Medicago truncatula: one gene and its partner. The protein of the gene in region 2 interacts with the protein of the main gene of each other region in a pairwise test. Links are inferred from orthologs where the notes say so. Each region holds a gene or a part of one and is shown on either strand. Other genes may lie near its edges.

Region 1 (10,553 bases), on a different chromosome or scaffold from region 2:
CATTTGCTTCCATAGTAGAATACCATGTCCGGTCATCAGATATTACCTCCCCAACTTACATGCACCGACAGCCAAATATTGAAAGTTGGTGAGCATGAGTTGGTCGATTTAGAGAAAATGTAAAGGGAGTCACAAGCACAAATAAATGTTGTTAGCTCTGGCATTTCTACTTCAAAGCAACCAATATCATTGTTTCTCATGCAAAATTTAGAATATATACATAATACCTGACAAATTTTTACCATTTTCAGATATCATCAAAGTTGTAAGCAATCAGTTATTGAATAGATAATATCAGGGTGAAAAATGTTCGCAATATGTTACAATGTTACATTTTTTTCCTTTCACTTTACATAAATTAAAGCATAGTCGAAAACCTATCTTGGCACTTGTGATTGTTGAAGGTCATAAGGATGATGTAATGTTGCTCCATATCCATACTGTGGATGAACCTCAACCCCACCTTGGATCTGAAAAAGTTTACGAATTTAAATTATTCATCTGCCTATCATTGTTTTATAGAAGTCTCGTGATTGGGAAAGAGAAGACAATCCAATATGAAAACAAGATATCCCATTTTCATGCATGCATTTAGCAGACATACTCTATAACCAAGTTTTTCTTTACTGGACAGAATTAAGGGGGAAACGGAGCAAAGTTGTCAAACTCTCGAGTTGACTCTTAAACTCTTAAGAGTTAAAGATTCAAGGTCACAAAAACTAGTTAAATCGCATGTAAACAATCTTTTTGATAAACTCTTACAAGTTCAGGTAAACTCTAATAAACTTGATAAACTCGCGATTTTACTGGTAGTTTACGATTCTACATTGATTTGACCTTAAAGTGTAAAATTTTGGTTAATATTATTTGATATTGATTATTCATATGCTCTATAATATATATTGATTTAAAAGAGTAAAACTTTGGTCAATATTATTCTATAATAAATATTTATCTATTTAAAACTAATTATGCTTTGTTATTGAGATGAATTGTTGAATTATTTTTATTTTAATGATATTATATTATTTACATTACATATCTCATATCTATGTTATTTTAATATTAGGTAAACTTCTACAAATTTATTAGTAAAGTTTACCTAGACTCTCGGGTTTGACAACCTTGAAACGGAGCATACTTGCTGCTACTACCTTCACCTTGTAAATTACATATATCTTCTTAGAAGTAGGTTCAGTATGTCTCTTTTCTTTCAGATAAATTATGTTAACAAACATCACAATATTTTTCATTCATCAATAAAAGACAATGTTTGTCACATGATTACTTCGAGATTATACTTAACACATGAAAAGTAAATAAAATTAGTGATTAATGTCGCAACGTACCTGATGCATGCTATAAGAATCTTGAGGATATGTGATTCCACCAAACCCCATTTCAGGATTGTTTGCATGATATCCAGGACCTGCATAGAAACCACTCCAAAGATTCAGAACATAAACTTCATTCAAAGTCTCCATTTATATTTCTGTTGCATTATAAAGTAAGCACTTCAAGGTGAATGGGCAAGAAATTCAAATTACTTGGAATTGCAGCAGCAACCATTGCAGCCCTTGCCCTCTTTTCTGCATTAGCCAGCTCAGCACGTAATTTTTCAACCTCACGGGTCATGATGATCATATTGGTGTCCATTACCCGGTTGTGCTCAAGGTTATTGGCATGTGTCTTCTTCTCAAATTCAATAGCACTCCTACATGAATCAGTGAATAAAAGTTAAAACATGCCCAAATCGAAGTTTAAAATGCCCAATGGTAAAGACTGATTTTTTCCCTAGCATCTGACTAGGTGCTCCAAAAATGTAACAAGAAAAAACAGCAGGTATATTTGGGAGGAGCGCATTTACAACATCTAGATGTTCAAATTAAATGTTATTTTGGTTAGAGTTTGATAAGCAACAGAACCAACTGCAGACTTCTATATTAGAAATCAGGGTAAACAAATAGCACAAATAGCATTGAGATATAAATCAGACATGCTTCCACAGACTTAACAAGTCATAACATAAGAATAGTTTTTCACATGAACTGGTCCGTCATTTAAGGGGGTACAATAGTTTTTCAATTTGATAGTATTAAAATAAGACAAAGTGAATAACTTCAACCAGTAATCAGATAAATGAATCAAGACTCGGTCATGATTCTAACAATGTGAATGAAACAAGCAAATTAATTTAGTCTACAGTTTTCATTGGTTTACCTCTCCCTCTAACTATTCAACAAACCTTCATGTGAACTACTCTCTTCTCTAGAATTTAAATAGGTCTTCTCAGAGCGCTCCTTTATTTCATCCAGCTTGAATGGTTTACCTCTCCCATTAATTCCCCATCATTTTGTATGGTTTCTTTCGGTAAGCAAATGAATTCGTTGAGTTTTGAAAAAACTGAGCACAAGTGCCACAGACCAGGGCAAAATAATACAAAAGGGTGCAGCTCAACAGAACACAATCCCCCACAAGCTAAAGTGACAACAAACAATGCAAAACTAGCCAAGTAAAGACACCACTATAAATGTTATAGCCCTACAGACACCAACTATACTGGGATATCAAGTCACACCATTGGTCTACATGGAAAATAAACACGAGAAACACCAGAAGTCATCCCACAGTAGCAAATACTTAAAGTTTTACGTGGCCGAAACCACCTGCAATTCTATGGACCACTCAGATACAACCATCCAGACCACAAAAAACCACCCAGCACTTTAATTTACAGAAAACCCAATCCAAGCAACCCATCTTACAAAACAAATTGAAAAATACCAATGTTATCAAACGCAGATTGCGGAAAATAGTGATTTGTTCAAATTCCGCTAGGCTACAGTGCTATAGTGCCGCTACTTGACACCACTTTGTACAAAATAGAGTATTGAAAAACAATAGCGGTTTGTTCATATTCCAACACGCTATAGCCGCAATTTGACAACACTGAAGAATACAATATATTGGATTCATGCACCAACATGAGAAAGGTAATAAAAGATCCTCAACCTTTACTTTAATACATAACCAGGTCTGGGATTTAATAAGGTTGACAACACTGAAGAATACAAGATATTGGATTCATGCACCAACATGAGAAAGACAATAAAGGATCCTCAACCTTCACTTTAATACATAACCAAGTCTGGGATTTAATAAGGTTTAGTATATTAGTCATAGCAAATTTACCATCATTAAAAATGGTATCATTCCTCATAGCATATTCATGTCACCATCTAGACCAAGATTTTTCCTGAACTATATATAACACGCATAGTTTAGATTAAAGGTGAGTTTGGTGTCCGACACAAGTAGATACATTCAATCACTTCTATTTAATAAAATAATATCATCTCTACAGACTACATGTCAGTGGTGTCGTTTGGTGTTCCTGTTTGTGTTGGTGATTCATAGCTAATTACTAAAATAAAATTAGTTACAAAAATACTTCATTAATCTTGTTTAGTCTTTAGTCTGATGCACCTCAAGAGTGAATTGTCCAAAATTTATACATACTCAAAATCACCAATGTTCATGCTTGATCACGTGAGGGCTACCTTGCCGGTGATGTACCGTGATCAAGGTCTGAGAAAACTGCTTGCGTGGTAAAAGGTGAATGGGTTAGGGTTTGCTTAAGGACCCTGTCATGGCCCTTGATCTCGGATAACTGCAATTGCCACTCACCCCAGTATTATCCGTGATCGTTGCTGCTTGATTGAGCAAACAGCACTTGCTTATGTGCTGGTATGACTTAGTCTCTCCCTGGGACACAAGTCTATGTCGGTATTGATATTATCTATTTCGGTAATGGGCCTGTATACCTCAGCATTGGGCCTATGTATCATGGCTATGTAAGGACCGAGTAAGTTTATAAAGGATATGCCGGTCCAACCAATGTTGACAATAGTGGATTACAAAAAATAGCAGCTCAATCAAATTCTACTACACTAGGGCAACTATAGCCGCTATCTAACAACACTTTGTACTAGATATCATATTGCTAAACAATAGGGATTTGTTCATATTTTGGAACACAATAACCGCTACTTGAGAACTGAAACAAACAAAAACCCAAATACATTCAACAATCAAAATCTAAAAGCTTCAACTTTTGTGCTTCAATTCTTTTTTGAAACTCATTCTTTCTACATGCCACCAATGCGCAAAAAAAAAATTAACAATTGTTCTCACATCACAACACTAACAAAGCAAGTTCTCCCTCACATTCACATTCACATTCGCATATGATTCGATTCAATATCAATTCAAAGCCAATAACAGCACTAACACAACGAAAATTTTACCTTCCTCGTTGAATCTCATGGCGCAAAGCTTCAATATCAACTTTAATAATCGGCAATGGCTTCAAATCTTCCCTTGCCAAAGCAAGCTCACTCTGAACACTCTGCAAATGTTCCACAAGCTCCTTCCTTACCTCCGCAAGTTCCCTTACATCAGCCCTTACCTGATCAAGATCAGACTTCATCGCCGCAACGGCACGTACCTCAGCATCCATCTTAAGCGATTTCTCGTAGATCCGACGGACCTCGGCGTCTCGTTCGGCTTTGACATCGGCGGCAGCGGCGGAGAGCTGACGAAGCTCTTGTTGAGTGGCGGTGAGGTCTTGTTTTAAGGCGAGGTGAGTTGTGGCGAGACGTTGGTTGTCGTGGAGGAGGGTTTGGATTTCGCGGTGGCGGGTGGTGATGCGGTCTTCGAGGGCGGTGGTTGAGGTGGAGGAGGAGGAGGAATGAGAGAGACGTGGCTCGTCGCGGCGGGAGAGAGAAGAGTGAAGATTATGGTGGTGGTGATGTTTGCGTCCTGCCATTTGTAGTTTTACACGGACGGGGAAGAATGGATTAGAGGAGTGACTCTGGTTTCAGGCTTCACTGCTACGGAGAAATTTCGTTATTTCATTCCCTTTCAATTCAAATGGTTTACATAATTTTTCCCGAGTAAATACCAATTACCCTCTCGAAATCGTTACTTTCGTCAATCATTTCTCTCTCGCATTAACAAAACATCAATTACTTTTGAAATTGCACAATTAATCAATTTATCCCTCCGTCAAATTATTCGTTTAGTCAACATAACGTTTTGTAAATACCCTTGAAATTTTGACACTTTGCAAAATGTCTCCGAATTTGAAAATTTATATTTTTTTACTTCTTATACTTCACTCAAGATATTAAAAGTAAATAATTATCATTTAACTTTAATGAAACTGAATAGCTGTTTCTTCTGCACTAATGATTTTCTATTTCATTCTTATGTTTCAATATTATCATGATCTACTTAATAGGCTCAACTTCAGTCCCTTAACATTTACTTACCTACTACTTTTTTTTGTTGCAAAGGCAAAATATACTTATACTATTAAAACCACAGCCAAGCACAATGAGACACAAGATGTGCAAGAATGAAACAAGAAGATAAACAACAACAATGAGACACAAGAAAACTCCCAAAACCCAACAATATGTGAAATGAATTTCTAATTTTGCTGACAAACTAATGCATCTCCAATTTTAATCCAAAGCTAAAGCAAGATTTATGAGACTATTGCTTAATCTAAGAGGTGTATTTATTTACTATTCATTTCATTCTTTCATATCTATGTGATTTCAAAATAGTGGATGATGCCACATGGTAATGAATTATATTGCTAAATGATAATAGTGTATATTGTTACTTGATATAATTTTCACAATCAGATAAGTATTGCAGACTAAAACCATTAGAAATAATTTCATCTAATCATTGGTTAAAAAAATATTATCTATTCTATTTATAAAACAAAACATATCAATTTAAATATGTAGCTAAGCTGAAAAATATATTATACATTTTTTACAAGAATATTTACCACTATGTTAATTGTTTGTCTTTAATATCTTTTGAGTTAAGTATAAGAAAAAAAATCAAGTTCGGGGGGCATTTCGCACATAAGTGCAAAACTTCAGGGGGATATGCAAAACATGATATTGACTAACAGAAGAATTTGACGGATGATGTAAATTGATTAACATTGTACAATTTCATAGGGGTAATTGAAGTTTTGTTAACGTTAGGGTGGTAATTGCCGAAACTTACAATTTGAGGGGATTAATTGCCTAAAACATTATTGGTGATGTTTACAAAATTTTACAGATGCATCATCTGATAATATGTTGTGTTCACGTGAGCTTAGCTCAATTAGCAAGGACAGTGCACAATATATGCAAGATCCGGGGTTCGAACCTTGAACACCACAAAAAAAAAATCCGATAATATGTTGTGACTTTGTTTAACGAGTCAAAAAGACATGACTCGTCATACCTCATCAAATAACGTGACAACATTTGTAAAATTTGAGTACACCGATGATGCATATAAATTAAACCCAACACATTAGCACCTCCCTTGGCGAATAAAAAAAAACACCTCCTTTGTAAAAATAATTTAATAAACATCAATTTATCACCTTTTTGTTAGACGTCTTTTTTAGATCAGGTGTAGTATCGTATGTTTAGGTTTATTATGTCAGGTGTAGTATCATGTGTTTAGGTAGTTGGGGTGGGAGTTAGTTTTACCTTTAGATTTAGCTAATGTTCATAGTTTTATATCCAAATTAGATGTCATGTTTATTATTAGAGTAAATGGTCACTTTGTAACTGACTCTGCACAGATCTCTGACTCAAGATTAAATACAAAGTAATCATTGAATGTGCATTTCTGTTATCACTTTAGTCCCTAACATTAAATAATTCTGTTAACCGATGACGTGACAAATGTTTTATGCTGACATGACATATGATGTATCACAAGAACTAAAGTAAAAGTAGAAAATGGTATGGTAACTTTGGTCCCTGAAATCGAAGATCATATCCCAAATTGAATCTTTAATCTCTAAATCCTGAATTCAATCCTCAAATCCCTAAATCCCCAAATTGCACCAACACTCAACATCATGTAATTCGATTTTGGCGTTTAATGCAAGATTTGATTTTGAACAAAATAGAGAATTGTATGACATTTAGGAATTTGAGATTTAGGAATTTGGGGATTGAATTTAGGATTTAGGGATTTGTGATTCAATTCGAGGATAGTGATACACAAGCATAAATGATTTAATGATTTAATTAATGGTAGAAAAAAGTTAATTAAGTTGTCCGTTGAGAATATTGAGGGCATGTAGTAGTAAAATCTAGGTGTGGGTATTGGGTTATGATGGATGAAATGGTGGATTTCGTGGAAAAGTGAGAAAATAAAAGGTATGTTATGGTTTTCAAGGAAAACAGATGTAGTAACGTTGCATGTGCAGGTTTGCTTTCACATTGAATCAAAGCTAGCTATTTCAGTGAGAGAGGAAGAATAAAAGAGCTTCAAATCTTTCTATTTGTCCTTCTCTGTTGAGGTGGATACAAAAATGTTACCCTTATATCTTAATTATTATGATTCCTTTAACAATTTGCAATCCACTTATTATATATGATCATCTTGAATCTCTGAATTCGTTTTCAAAATTGAGAGACCACTCAATTTTGTTTTGCGAACAAGACTACCTCAACTTGGTTGGTTTCTAAAAAAAAAAAAACTTGGTTAGTTTCTTTTAATTTGATTGAAACTAACTAAGCTAGGTAAGAGTCCATACCCCATGCATTCTAACGAAATTTGACGAAATAAGAAACCACTTACCATACTTGGTAAACATAGGTAAGGTGGTAATAAAGAAAATAGATGAAAGATAAAACTAGCATTTACTCAAATACTAACCGGTCATCTATATGCTTAGTCGTTTTTTTTTTTTGTGCGAGAGAAATGCTTCGTCGATTTCCCCTTTAATTTAAGGAAAATTCTACAATGAAGTCATGAGAATGATTTATCTGGTGAAGTTAACACTATAACATCAAAAGTGTTGTGAGTAACACCCCACTATTTATACAATGACATCAAAAGTTCAGTCCTCATAGTATCATCAATTCATCAGATTAACAAGAATACACTTAATCTAATTTTATCCTACTTTGTTTTAAGTGTAACACCTCACAAAGTGTAACACTTAAGACTATCACATGATATCAGCAACTTTGTTTGCATGTTAAAGATGTCAACAATAAAATAGTATCTATAAGTTCAAGATGCTGCAAGTATTACTAGATGAGTTACTATTAATCATTAATCAGTAATCCACAATTTAAAAATGAATCAAACATTAAAATTAAAATTAACTTTTTTAAAAAAAGTCAGTTTCATGACCGTAGAGCTCCCTTAATTTAATTGTAGTTTTGATCATAATATTTTCATCATTTTACAAATTCAGTCTCCCTATTTAAAAATCTGATAATTTTTTTTGTCCCTTCATCATATTTTTTTAACTAAAAAAATTAATAACGTGGTTTATGATTCGATGATAGGAAGAAAAAAATTGATGACGTTATAAAAAAAAAGTTGTTTAAAAATTTTATTTAAAACATATCATATTATCATATTTTAAACCAAACATTTGATTGAGGAATTAAAACTATCAAATTTCAAAATAGGTGAATAAAATCCTTAAAAGAATATAAGTAAGGGGATCAAAATTGACACAAATCACAAACCAGTTTATCATATTCCACTTCTTCCCTTCAACGTTTGTTCACATCTTTGTCTCTTAAATTTGACACGCTCTACCTATTTTCTGGTATATCCAGATTCCCATCTTTCGGCTACCAAAATATCACATCATTATTTTTCTCTGTTTCAAGTCGTAAGTGTATATACACGCAATATTTTAGTAATTAAATATTTTATATGATAAGACTGAAAAGCTTAAATTTGTTTACTTTTATTAAAAAAATGAGACACTCTGTGGTTTAAATTTACGGTTGATTCTACTATATCTTCTACTAGTTCTCTAATATTATGCATGGGAATATGAACGTACAGTTCGATGCAGCTTTGATGTTGTGATGTTTATTTATTTTTTTATTTGTAACAACTAACAAGTTATGCAATGAAGAAGAAGATGAAACTGGTAGAATCAGAAAACCTCCTGTATGGAGCAGAGACTATATCTTAGGAAGAGAAGCAGAAGAAGAAGAAAGCAGTTTTCAGACTCTGGCTTTTTCAGTAATAGAGAAGATCCTGCTACTTATGAGGAAGCTGCAAAGTTCAATTGTTGGAAAGAGGCTATGGATCAGGAAATTGAAGCCATAGAAAGAAATGATACCAACTGGAAGCAGGAAGATTAGTGTAAAATGGATTTATAAGACAAAATACAATGAAAATGGTAAAGTTGAAAAACACAAAGCCAGATTAGTAGCAAAGGGGTACTCTCAAAAGTATGGAGTTGATTACAATGAAGTTTTTGCTCCTGTAACCAGATGGGACACTAATAGAACTATACTTTGTTTGTTAGGCAAGAAACTGGAGGAAAAATACTTACCGTAAGTTTGTATGTAGATGACTTAATCTACACTTGAAATGATGAAGAAGTGTTTGAAGAGTTCAAACATTCTATGGAAAATAAATTTTCCATGACAGATCTGGGCAAGATGAGGTATTTTCTTGGTGTGGAAGTCAAGCAGATGGATAGAGGAATATTCATTCATCAGCAGAAATACGCAAATGAAATTCTATCTAGATTTGGTATGGAAAATTGCAACAAAGTATTGAACCCCATAGTCCCTTGAAACAAGCTGTCAAGAGATGAAAAGGGAAAAGTTGTGGACTCTACTCAGTACAGGCAGATGATTGGATGCTTGATGTATTTGCTGGCCACTAGACCTGATCTTACCTTCTCAGTTTGTCTTATTGCTAGATATATGGAAAGACCAACTGAAATTCACCTAGCAGCTGCTAAGAGAGTAATCAGGTACGGGTACCTCAGAGGAACAACCTTGTTGGGAATCATGTATGAAAGAAAAGTAAGTGTTAAACTGCAAGGATGGACATATTCAGATTATGCTGGAGACATTGATGACAGGATATGTCTTCAAATTGAGTTCAGGGTCAGTGTCATGGTCCTCAAAGAAACAACCAATTGTTACGTTGTCCACTACTGAAGCAGAGTTTGTAGCTGCAGCTTCTTGTGCTTGTCAAGCAGTTTAGCTCAGAAGGATCCTGGAACAAATTGCACTGTCATTCAGTGTGATAATAGTTCATCTATTAAACTGCCCAAAAATCCTGTATTGCATGGGAAGTGTAAACATATAGATGTTAGATACCACTTTCTCAGGGATCTTACAAAATAAGGAATAGTTGAGATGTCACACTGCAGCACTCAAGAACATATAGCAGATATTATGACCAAGCCTTTGAAGTTTGAGACATTTTTGCTAGGCATCTGTGAAGTTTCTAGCTAAGCTGTTTTTTTTTAGTTCTTTGTCTTTCTATTCAGTATGTTTGTATGTTTGTAAACTGATTTTGTGTATCATGAAGTTCAGTTTAGGGAAGTGTTTCTTGAGTATTAGTTAGTTTCTTTTGGTTGCTTAGCTGTCAAGTAACTCGGCTATTGTGTATCTCAGGTTACTATATAAAGCAGTCTTGTATCAAACTCAATTCAGTTAATGAGAATACACTTTGAGAAT
Region 2 (10,911 bases):
CGTCTCTGAGAGTGTGACATAGTTGAAAAGTCCAATCTTTAGCTTTGTATTTTCTTCCCTAAAAAAAAAAATGTATTTTCTAATAATAGCTATCTCATTTCTATAGTGGTGAACTGAAACATCAGCATACTCATAGTATATATATGGAATCATTGTAACAAATAATGTCCTATATTCTAAGACGGAGGAGTAAGATGTAAACTATAAACTAAAAAGCATATATAACCAAATACATTACTATAACCCATTGCAACTTTAACATTTATCCTCCTTAAACAAAAACTTAATTATCCAAAAGGAAAAGTAGAAAGATAAAGATATCGTCGTCACTCCTCGCTGTCCTATTGTATCTTTGCATCACAACGTAAATGCTCGCCATGATTACCGGATAGCTAAAGAATCGTTTCATTAATCTATTGATCAATTGATATTTGTTTATTTAATTCAAAGTGAAAGAAATAATTATAAAACACGATTTAACAAAACAAAAGAAGGTAAGGAGAAGCTTACTGGCCGGCGGAAAGAGAAGAAAGTCCGACACATAGGTTTTAAATTCACATGCCACTACATAATCAACTTAGGAATGTGACAAATTTATAAATAATATTGAGATTATTATATTTAAAGAGCCGTTTCTTTCAATTATATGCATGATAAATTAAACTAAGAAAATGAAATGCGTGGATTAATATGAAAGGTGACAAAAAATTAAATAAATAGCAAAAATGATATAGCCATACTGAAATAATATACTATCATTTATGGAAACCCTAATTAAAGAATGGGGAATACAAGTACATGTTTTGAAGCAAGCAACCATATGTGTCGTTACATTTTAATTGCGTATATAAAAACCGCAATTAGTGGAAGTACATGTATTGTGCATGTATGTGGTGGGTATGAATGAGTGTGAGAGAATCTTGAGGACCTTGCACATGGAGGCATAGGGCAAAGCATGTAGAGAAAGTAAAGAACAAAAACATACATAACATTGTTTAATTATTGTTGATGATCAACAACATTGTTTAATTATTTTTTGATCAATAACATTGTTTAATCTAAGAGACCCTTTAAAAAAAGAATCCCGTATTTGACGGCACAGCTAAAAAGATCAATTTCCATGCTTCAGAATATTGAGAAACCTGATGAGAGATGGTACATCACGTGACATTTCTTCCTTCATTACCAACACATACTGCTTTTCCTCTCTGGCTTCATTCTTCATTTTCTATATCTTGTGAATAAAAAATAAAACAAGAAAAATGTTTTTACTCATGGTAGTAGAGTTTAGCTTAATAAATTTAAATGCAATTTAGTTGGATAATATTGCTTGGGATCTGTGCACTAATCATCGTATCCATATTTTTATCTCCTTAATTTCATTTTAAGGACATCAACTGCTCACTGTTCCGTTCCCATGTCAACGCTTGTTCTGGTCACGTTTTCTCCCCACGTGATTGGCTTCTTGCATTTTTTTTGAAAGAAAAAGACTGTCTTCTTGCATTTATCAGTTACTACTACTAGTAGTACAATATTTTTTGGCATCAAAGTAGTTATTGCGAATGTCTTATAGTAAGAAAATATAATTTCAATTAAAAATATAATAAAAAATGACATGTTTATAAAATGTATTGCTAGTGTGTATTTTAATTTTATATAAGTTACCTAAAAAATATGATTCATGGTATTTAATTGACATATGTCTTTAAAATACAAATAATTATTTGTTTACTGTTTAAAATAAGTAAATACCTCTATCTTTTTTTTAAACGGTCATACCCAATTTGATTCTCCGTTATTCAATTTAGTCTCTCGCAAAAAATAATAATCCATAAAGTTCCTTGTAATTTTATACCTGAGACAAGTTCATTATTTTTTTAGGGTACAAATTAATCTTTTTTTTACAAGAAATTAATCTTTTATTGATTTTGAGTAATATAATAGAAAGCTAATTTTTTTTAGTATAATTATAACAAAAGTCTAATTTTTAGGTACAAAATAGAAGGCTAAATTATTCATGTATAAAAATGTTTGAGATAATATTTTTGTTTAAAACAGAGATAAAGTTGGGATCACAAGGTTCAAGCTGGGGATATCGGGTTTGGTGGTGTCTAATCTCCGGTATACATGTTATTTTGTTAATAGTTGTGTCACAGATGTTAATTTGGATGTAACCTTATTGGGGATGGTAGAGTCTGGGACATCCAATATAATTCGGAGATCATGTTAAAATTTTGATAATTTTTCGTTTCAAACAAAATTGAAAGAAAAAAAAATAACATCACTTATGGTGACTGACAATGGAAGAGAAGTTTTTGGATGATGGAAAATGTGAAGGAAAATAATGGAGAAATCTTTCGAAAAATTTAAAGAGAATTTTTTAGAGAATGATAAATTAATGCATAAGATTACTATATATTTAATTTTAAAAATTTAATAACAACATAAATTAAATTTGAAGAATTCATATAAACTCTCCAAAACCCTCCTTCAATACAATTTTTAAGTTTCCCCAAATGAGGAGAGTTTTGTATTATGAAGAAAAGTTAACCCTCTAAAACCCTTACCTCCCATTTTCCTCTATTTCTTCCACTTGCTCACTCCTTTTTTCCCAAGCATTCCCCTCCCTTCTCTTCCAAACTCGCAAACAAAGCCTAAGTTGTAGTTAAATATAAGAGCAATGTTTTAAACATGGATTTTACCTACAGACATATAGGAATTTATCTGTGAAAAATGCATAATTGACAACATAAGACTTTTACCTACGATAAAAAGATATTTAGTGACGAATTTTGGCCCCAGGTACAAGTTCTATTTTTTCTTCCAAATTTTAAGGCCCCTTTAGATTTAAAGCCTTGGGAAGAGTGGTACTTGAATTTTACGCTTTGTCTTTTCCTTTCATGTATATGGGCCTTCTAGGGGGATGATATGAGCGAAGAGGTGACTTTAGGATCGCCCGGATCAAGCTTGTTTATAGATCGTGGAGCAACTAATTTGTTAGTTTGGGTGGGGTAAACTTTAATTAATTTTGTCGTTAATTTTATCCCTATATTTTGCCTTTATTTTTGTCAAGATGCGTTTAAGGTGTGGATAATGGAAACAGATCGTGTGTCTCCAGAGAATTTTAATTTGAGGCCGTCTATAGGAGGCCTACCAAGTTTTCACGAGTTCATTGCTTTAAGGTTTGCAAGACTAAGTGTACATGAGGCCTTGGAGTGCGGGAATTAAGTCTGTTTAATATGACCTTTTTATGTCAGCGGTGTTGGAGGATTTATTCTGGAGGGTCGTCGGGGTGGGGATAAGAGCATCATCCGTTTGGTGGAAAAGTGTCACAGTAGGTGAGCATCATCTACCTCATATTAGTTCTCAAAATGGGTAATTAGGGTGGTCTGCAATAGGTGAGATACTTTCTTCAGAAGCAATCCTTGGGTGAGATCGGTAACCTGAAATATCCCCTTTCAAAGTTTCTTCTTGGTTTTAGAATAAAAACGTTTTAGGGTTAGGCTTTAGAGTAACTGGATGGGGATTCCTTGGTGTGGTACTTTAGATGGAAGAGATGACTTTTTGCTTTGGAGCAAAAGCTAGGTACCAATTTGATGGCAATTCTATTAGATTTATCCCCCTCAAATGTTTTCGATCTTTGATTGTGGAAGCATGATGCCAATAGTTTGTACTCAATTAGCTCAATGTACTCGGTGCTTTCATAAGCATCTCAGTTGATGGTCGTTCGGGAAGTACTATTTTTAGCGAATGTTTGAAATAGACGAACGTCTTATAAGCAAATTGTTTTCTCTTGGAAGATCCTACACGATAGAGTTTCTACTCGCCGTTGTATGTGGAAACAAAGGTTAATAATGGATCTCATTTGTATTTCCTTGATGTTTTGTGGGGATCTGGAAGAGCCTGATAGCCATTTGATTTTCACTAATGACTTTGCTTCTTGGGTGCGGTATAATTTTTTTAGATGGTTGGGTTGGGAGTTGATTTTGCCTACAGTTGTTTTTATTTCATTGTATAATATTGCTTTTTGTTTGCTATTTTGTGATCTCTTAGACCTGTAATATAACACACACACATTAGAAGTGTTGGAAATAATATTAATAATTGAATGATACTATTAAAAATTGAAAAGGATCTATCAACTAGAGACATTCAGTTTTATAAATGAATCACTTATTATGAGATAGCATGACTATATTCATTTTTTCTTTGCAACAGATAGGGGTATGTTCTTATTTGATACGATGAATATTCATCTACAATGAAATTTCATTTTATTTCAAAAATAATTAAACTAAATTTACTATATCACACACTTTTTTTTTGACAAATACGTTACACTCTTTTTATTTTATTTGCCTTTCCTTAAAATTTCATGTATGTAAGATAAAAATCGAATTTGACATATACCCTTTTTAGTGCAACGATGGAAACCAAAGTATTCTCATCTTGGGAAGAGAACATTTATACATACATGCGCAGGAGATATTAAATTTTGGTCTAATGTTTTTCCTTTTTGTATTTTTTGGTCTAATGTTTTTCCGTTTTGTATTTTCCTTATTATAGCACAAGATGTGTATCAAATAGAAGAAAGAACAATCGAGACCTAGAAAAATAAAACCTAAAACAACGGAAAGAAACAGCACACCAAATGTTGTTTCAGTGAATAACAAAACAAAGAAAATTTAGTGGATTAAACTACCATTGATTCAAACCATACATACTTGAAACTTTTAGTCTTAGATTTAATCCACCACGAAATCTAAACTTTCACTTTATCTAAAATCTAACGAGATATCGGTTCTTTATGATCAAATAGACGTTTATTGCGTTCTTTAAAAGTCTCATGCACACGTCGACTTTGTATGTCGAAAACAAGCTTGAGATTCCTTGTTATTAGAATGAAACCCTCTAAATTGATATGCATGCAAAGAAGCAACATTCTAAAGAGCATTAGAAATGCTCGACCAATTAATGACACCACACGTAAATAAATAATCTTTTTATAGAAAGTATGTGTTTAAGGAACCGTCATGCAAATAACGACACCTCTGAATAAGCAACTTTATTTTAAACAAGTTATGAATGAACAACCGATTCTTCCATCTTTTCTTTAGTAAGCATTTTATAAAATCATTTGACTTGACCAACTATGAAACATTATCCAAGTTATACATTTATTGAGAAATGTTAAATATTAATTAAAAGTCACGTTGTTGTGTCGTTTTATATTTATTAACTAGTTAAATCGTCAACTTTATCAAACATATTAAATTCATCGAGTTAACTTATCCACTATTCGATACAAATTCATATTATTAAATGGTTTATCAACTATCCCCTATTTTTCTTCAAACAGACCCTCATTTGAAAAAAAAAAATTTCAAACTCAAATAAAATATTGACTACATCTTATATCCAAATATCTTCATGTAGGAAAAGCAACACAAAATCATACAATTTATATCAACGAACAATAAAAGTTGAAAACTATCTCGATTCTTAATTTAAGATTGAACATTTGATATAAAAAATTTACGATGCAATTATTACACCGTATTCTTCTTATATTTGTTAAAAAAATCATATATTGGTTCAACATTCACCCTGACCCTGATATAGGATAAATGTTTCTGTGGAAGTACTGCACTAGTACTACATATGTATCTTATGGATTAAAGAAAATCCAGGACACAAATAACAGTATTATATTTTTACTGACACGACCTAATTAATTCCGTAATAAGGGATCACGGATTGCGTAAATATAAATTAAAAATATAGTACTACATCTGCTTAGGGATTGCCGAAGTATTAGAAAAAGTGTTAGCAGAAAACAAAGATAAATTAAAAGTTTTTCACTCTGCTTACCGTGTGTTTGAAGAAACGGCGACGTTTACACAGAATAAACCGTTAATTATTGACTTAACTCCGTTACCCGCCGCAACGTCGTATGTAAACGGAGTTTAAAACTTAACGGAGAAAAAAAAGAATAGAAAGCAAATAAAACTGGATGGCGAAAACACAGAGAGCAGAGAGAAAGTATATAAAAACATCTTTCATCTCAATTATATATCAATATCAATTCTCAAACTCAACAGAGAAAGTTAAAGGGTCCGACCCGAGACCTCATCTTTCGCTGCAGTGCTCGTTTTCAGAGTAACATAAGAACCGATAGAGAAAAAGTGATTATAAGAAAAAGCGCGGCACACAGAGAAGATAGCGCTCGAAGAATCTCTTCTACATCGTGCTCTGCTTCAAGTGTCGCTTCTCAATTCTCAATTTCTTCTGGTTCATCACTTCAGTTACTCAATTATCATTACGGTAATTCACTTATTTTTCAATTTCTTGTTTCTTAGTGGAAATTCGCACGCACTAGTAATTCGTTGTTTGGATCTTTACTTTTTTCAGTTTTTTGATGTATTAACTTCTGAATTTTCTAGAGTTTAGTGATTTTTCAAGCCGAATTATGCTCATGAGTTTTATTGTGTTTAGTCTAATCAGAACTGAAAACGTGTTGAATTTTGAAGTAGAATTGAACTTGAATTATGATTCTTCTTTGTAATGTCTGATTTCTGATTCTGTGAAATTTTTAATAGGAAGCTCTGTGATTGTAGATTTTGGAGTAAAATTGTGATTATCGAACGACCTTCGTGGAAGTCAATTACGAAAGTTTCATTGCATAAGCAACAACTCGAAGATAATCTACAACGATAATTCGAACCGTAAGCTCTTGATTGGCGATTAAGGACGCAGTGCTTGAATTCACAGTAATTCGTAAACTAAACTGAACGAATGTGTCTCCGATCTTCAACCTAACAAGAGAATTACGGTTTCTATTAAATTCGGATCTGATCGAAGCAGCGAATTCTCCATCCCTGTTTTGCCTTCAAAATTCAGAGATAATTCAGTCTTCAAAAGCGGTAGCAGAATTGTGTTCTATGAGATTTGACCGAATTTCAAAATTACGTTGAATTACGTACCAGAGAAGAAAATTGAGATTCAAGTATTGATGGAGCTTCCTCAAACACGTTCTTATGGAGCTGGAGGTAGTTATAATTTTCTTGTTATATTATTGTTTTTTTGAAAAAGGAAATTAATAATAATTAACTTGATTTGAATTAATATTGTTTGGATGAGGTTTTCTGAAACTTTTCTGTGCGGAAACAGGAGCAGGGAGGAAATCGACGCATGATTTTCTGTCGCTATACAGTAATTCAACTGCCGAACAAGATCCAAGGCCATCTGCTCAAGGTACTGTATAATTTGTTTTTTAATTTTTGGTTATTATTATGCAAAATGATTCGGTGTGTGAGATTTTTCTTTCCTATGTTGTTGCCATGTTTTTTTCTGTGACGTGGGGATCATGGTGCAAACCTAAATATCGTATTATAAATTCATCACGGTCAATTTTCTGCCAAATAATTCAACTGTAAATAAAAGCAGTTATACATCATGCTTGTTCCTGCACGTGACCTCTATTTAATCACAGGATCTGGGCCATGCTTCTTATTTATGGACTGCGTATTAATTATATTATTATTATTTTTAATTAACAAAATTTCCTATGGTGGATTCCGAAGGATTTAACATCAAACGGAAAAGTGTAAATCACAATGTATTTTACACCGTCCGATAAAGTGTGCAGCATGAGGATGGGTGGGGGCCCAATTTGATTGGACTTGTAGTTGATTTGACATTTCACATCAGGCTCGATAAGGATTGGCATTCCCGTGTGCGTGTGGTGTAGTTTTTCTGTTCTTTTCGATTGCAAAATTACACTAATCTCAGTTCACCAGCGTTAAGATCTTAATTAAGAGAATGAAAATGAAAGGCATGCATTTTTATTATTTCTCTAATCTTAGTTTTTTATTTTTATTTTTTATTTTTAAATTGAGTATCTCTTCATGCAACAATAGTGATTAATCTCGTTGAATATGATCATAATAAATGAGAAAGTTATCCTTACAAAGAAATTTTGAATTCAAACCTTGGTTAAATTGAAAGAAATAGTTATCATCCCATTTAAATGCACTTAATCTTCGTGTTATTAAACTAACAAAACATGCACATGTTTAACTCTTTTTGCATTTTAGGAAATCTATAAGTTAAAACAATATATATTTTGTACCCTATACTGTGAGAGATCCTTAACGAATATAATTGGTGTTTTAATTTTGGGCTAAAAAACCAGTATAATTGCATTACTATATTCTTTCATATGGACCATTGTAACAAACTTTCTTTCATATGGACCATTGTAACAAACTTTCAATTGTTTTAATATATAAGATCATTTTTTTTTAAAATTATTTGAAAAATTTATTTCCAAGGAAAATTTACAAGTATGTTTAGTAATTGACTAACAAAATGTATCCTTTCATTCTCCTCATTTTTCCATTATTAACTAATAATAGCTAATATTCTATAAATAATTAAATAAATATTACAGAGTAGAGTTTAAAATAAATTCCTCAAATTAATTACTAATTCATGAAATGTTTTTTTTGACAAATGATAATATATGGAAGTTATAACAAACAGGATTTGAGGATTGTATTTTAATATTAAAGTGATTCATTTTTTAAAATTTGATAACTTTAATTTAAACATGTTTGTAAATCAGAACTCAGCACTGATGTGTTACTTCAAAAACAAGATTTATATTACGTGTATGTAAGAAGTGTATGTTGCAGTAACAAAAAGTTAATTTTACTAAGAAATTTGACATTTGTTGTTGTATTTTTTTGTCACATTTTAACCAAAATTAAGCTATAAAACAAATTAGATTCATAAAACTATTTAAAAGATGATGCAATATTTGCAAAAATAAAAAAAAGTGATGTAATAATTATTTCATATTCACTTGAAAATTGTATTGTATTTTATTTCATATTTTGCGAATCCTAGAAAATAGTTTTGAAAACTGGAAAAAGTTAATATTACTTGCCTGCGCACTATTTAATGCACTTACTTGGCATATGCTCACGAGTCTTTTGCTTCATGCACAGAAATGAAAACGATATGTATCAGCTTTTCACAGAATCGTTAGCAAGCTTTTCGCAGTATTTGTGCGTTTTTTATTTTCAAAATTATTTCGGTTATATGAAGGAAATTGTTTTACTTCCCTTGACCTGCATGTCATTATTTCCTTCTTTCATGCATGAACAGCAAGTTTCCTCAAGACCCATGATTTCTTGCGGCCACTAGAGGAGGTAGAAGCAAAATCCAGTGCCAAGGAAGAAGCCACAGATGAAATCTCATCGGTGGTTGAGAAGCAACCCCCTTTAGCAACACCAGCTTCAGTTGAGCACCTCTTACCTGGAGGAATTGGGACTTACAGTATCAGCCACATTAATTCCTGCGTGAATAATAATCAAAGGGTTCCAAAGCCAGAAGCATCATCACTTTTCACTGTGCATCAAGCAACTAGTGCTGATAGAAATGACGACAACTCCAATTGCAGTTCACATACTTCAAGCGGTTTCACATTGTGGGAAGAGTCTGAGATTAGAAAGGGAAAGACAGGAAAGGAGAATAATGTTGGGGATAAACCCATTATAGGAGGTAACCATGAAATATTTTTTGAAGATGTTAAGTAAGAAGTATATATTTTTTATTTTTATTTTGAATCAAGCAAGAAGGATTATTTAAATGGAGAATAATAAGGATAATTCAACCCATTAAAGCAGCCTACACTATGCTTTAAACATCCCATATAAATTGAGCACAAATCAGAATAATATGACAAGATTTTCTACACTCTTTACATATATATGAACAAACCCCAAGATACTAACTAACACTTTAATTTGAAAATTAAGATAAAAATATGAAAGTAATAAAGATAGAAAATGTTTGGGGCGTCAATTTCCTGCATTTTCTTATGATTTCAAGTAAATAAAACACTACAACTCTGTCTAAAAGTCTTTGGCTAATAATACCCCAAGAAACCGTAGCTTTTATTACTAGAATGGTTTTTGAAGTGATAATATAAAGTGTTAGTTTTTTTCTTTCGCCAATGGTTTTGCCTCTCATACCGGATTCATTCATGAAAATAACTGATTGAAAGGGCTTTATTGATTTTATGATATAATTAATACTTGACACATTATTTTAAAAAATGATCCAATCATACCTGTAATTATTTACCTTATTTTCTCAAAATATATTCCTTGCCAATTTTAGTTGTTTTTGTTTGTAACGTGAAATTATGCCTTTTGTCCACACCACGGATGAAAGTCAGCTTAATTCCGTCGCTATATAAATTAATATTACAACATTTGTTCCAATTATTTTCTCCGACGTTCTTCATACACATGAATGACACTAGATAGACCGTGGCGGATTACCTGTCTAGCAAGTCAACTTCAACGTTAACTAGTTAGATTTTGAGGAAAAAAAATGTTGTACTACTAATAACAATGATCAAATATCAATTGCATAGTATTTGCGACGGTAGTAACATTTTGCAGCACTTTATTATGTGTCAGATTCTGCTGCTAAGTTAGGACAGTGGACATTGAAGGAGCGAACGTCTCAATCGTTTTCTAACAATCATCATGGCAGCTTCAACTCTCGCTCTTCATCTCAGTAAGTCATATTAATCTGTACAATTTATTTTAACTTTTTTACTCGGAATAGTTGCCTTTTAAGATGGTTTTTTTAATTTAATATATGTTTATGCTGAACATTTTGCACTTGTTGCAACAGGACAACTGGACAGAAGAACCAGAGTTTTATGGAAATGATGAAATCTGCGCAGGATTGTGCCCAGGATGAGGAGCTCGAAAATGAAGGAACGTTTTTTCTCAAGAGAGAATCCTCGAATGTTCAAAGAGGTAATTTCTAATATCTCCTTGTTGAGAAAGGCAGTAGCATGCGCATCCCTCTTTTAAGTTTTATTTCAAT

What was found. The genes of interacting proteins can lie anywhere in the genome.
Region 1: the proteins of transcription factor BIM1 (region 2) and protein FLC EXPRESSOR interact in binary tests that used the Arabidopsis thaliana proteins (3 or more experiments, as listed by UniProt). The link is inferred for Medicago truncatula from reciprocal best matches to the Arabidopsis thaliana genes BIM1 and AT2G30120.

The regions. Positions count from the first base shown.
Region 1 is NC_053046.1:32,259,327-32,269,879, reverse strand, and holds protein FLC EXPRESSOR, read right to left. Parts: upstream 4,948-10,553; 5' UTR 4,829-4,947; coding exon 4,308-4,828; intron 1,715-4,307; coding exon 1,548-1,714; intron 1,430-1,547; coding exon 1,350-1,429; intron 1,161-1,349; coding exon of another isoform or gene 1,103-1,160; intron 471-1,102; coding exon 378-470; 3' UTR 354-377; exon of another isoform or gene 229-353; intron 228-228; 3' UTR 212-227; downstream 1-211. UniProt on the Arabidopsis thaliana protein: Transactivator required for FRIGIDA-mediated activation of FLC and for the expression of the repressors of flowering AGL27/MAF1 and AGL31/MAF2. Does not alter expression of known activators of FLC expression.
Region 2 is NC_053045.1:53,844,189-53,855,099, reverse strand, and holds the start of transcription factor BIM1, read left to right. Parts: upstream 1-6,036; 5' UTR 6,037-6,324; intron 6,325-6,599; exon of another isoform or gene 6,600-6,617; 5' UTR 6,618-7,012; coding exon 7,013-7,049; intron 7,050-7,170; coding exon 7,171-7,254; intron 7,255-9,171; coding exon 9,172-9,567; intron 9,568-10,493; coding exon 10,494-10,593; intron 10,594-10,713; coding exon 10,714-10,841; intron 10,842-10,911. UniProt on the Arabidopsis thaliana protein: Positive brassinosteroid-signaling protein. Transcription factor that bind specifically to the DNA sequence 5'-CANNTG-3'(E box). Can bind individually to the promoter as a homodimer or synergistically as a heterodimer with BZR2/BES1.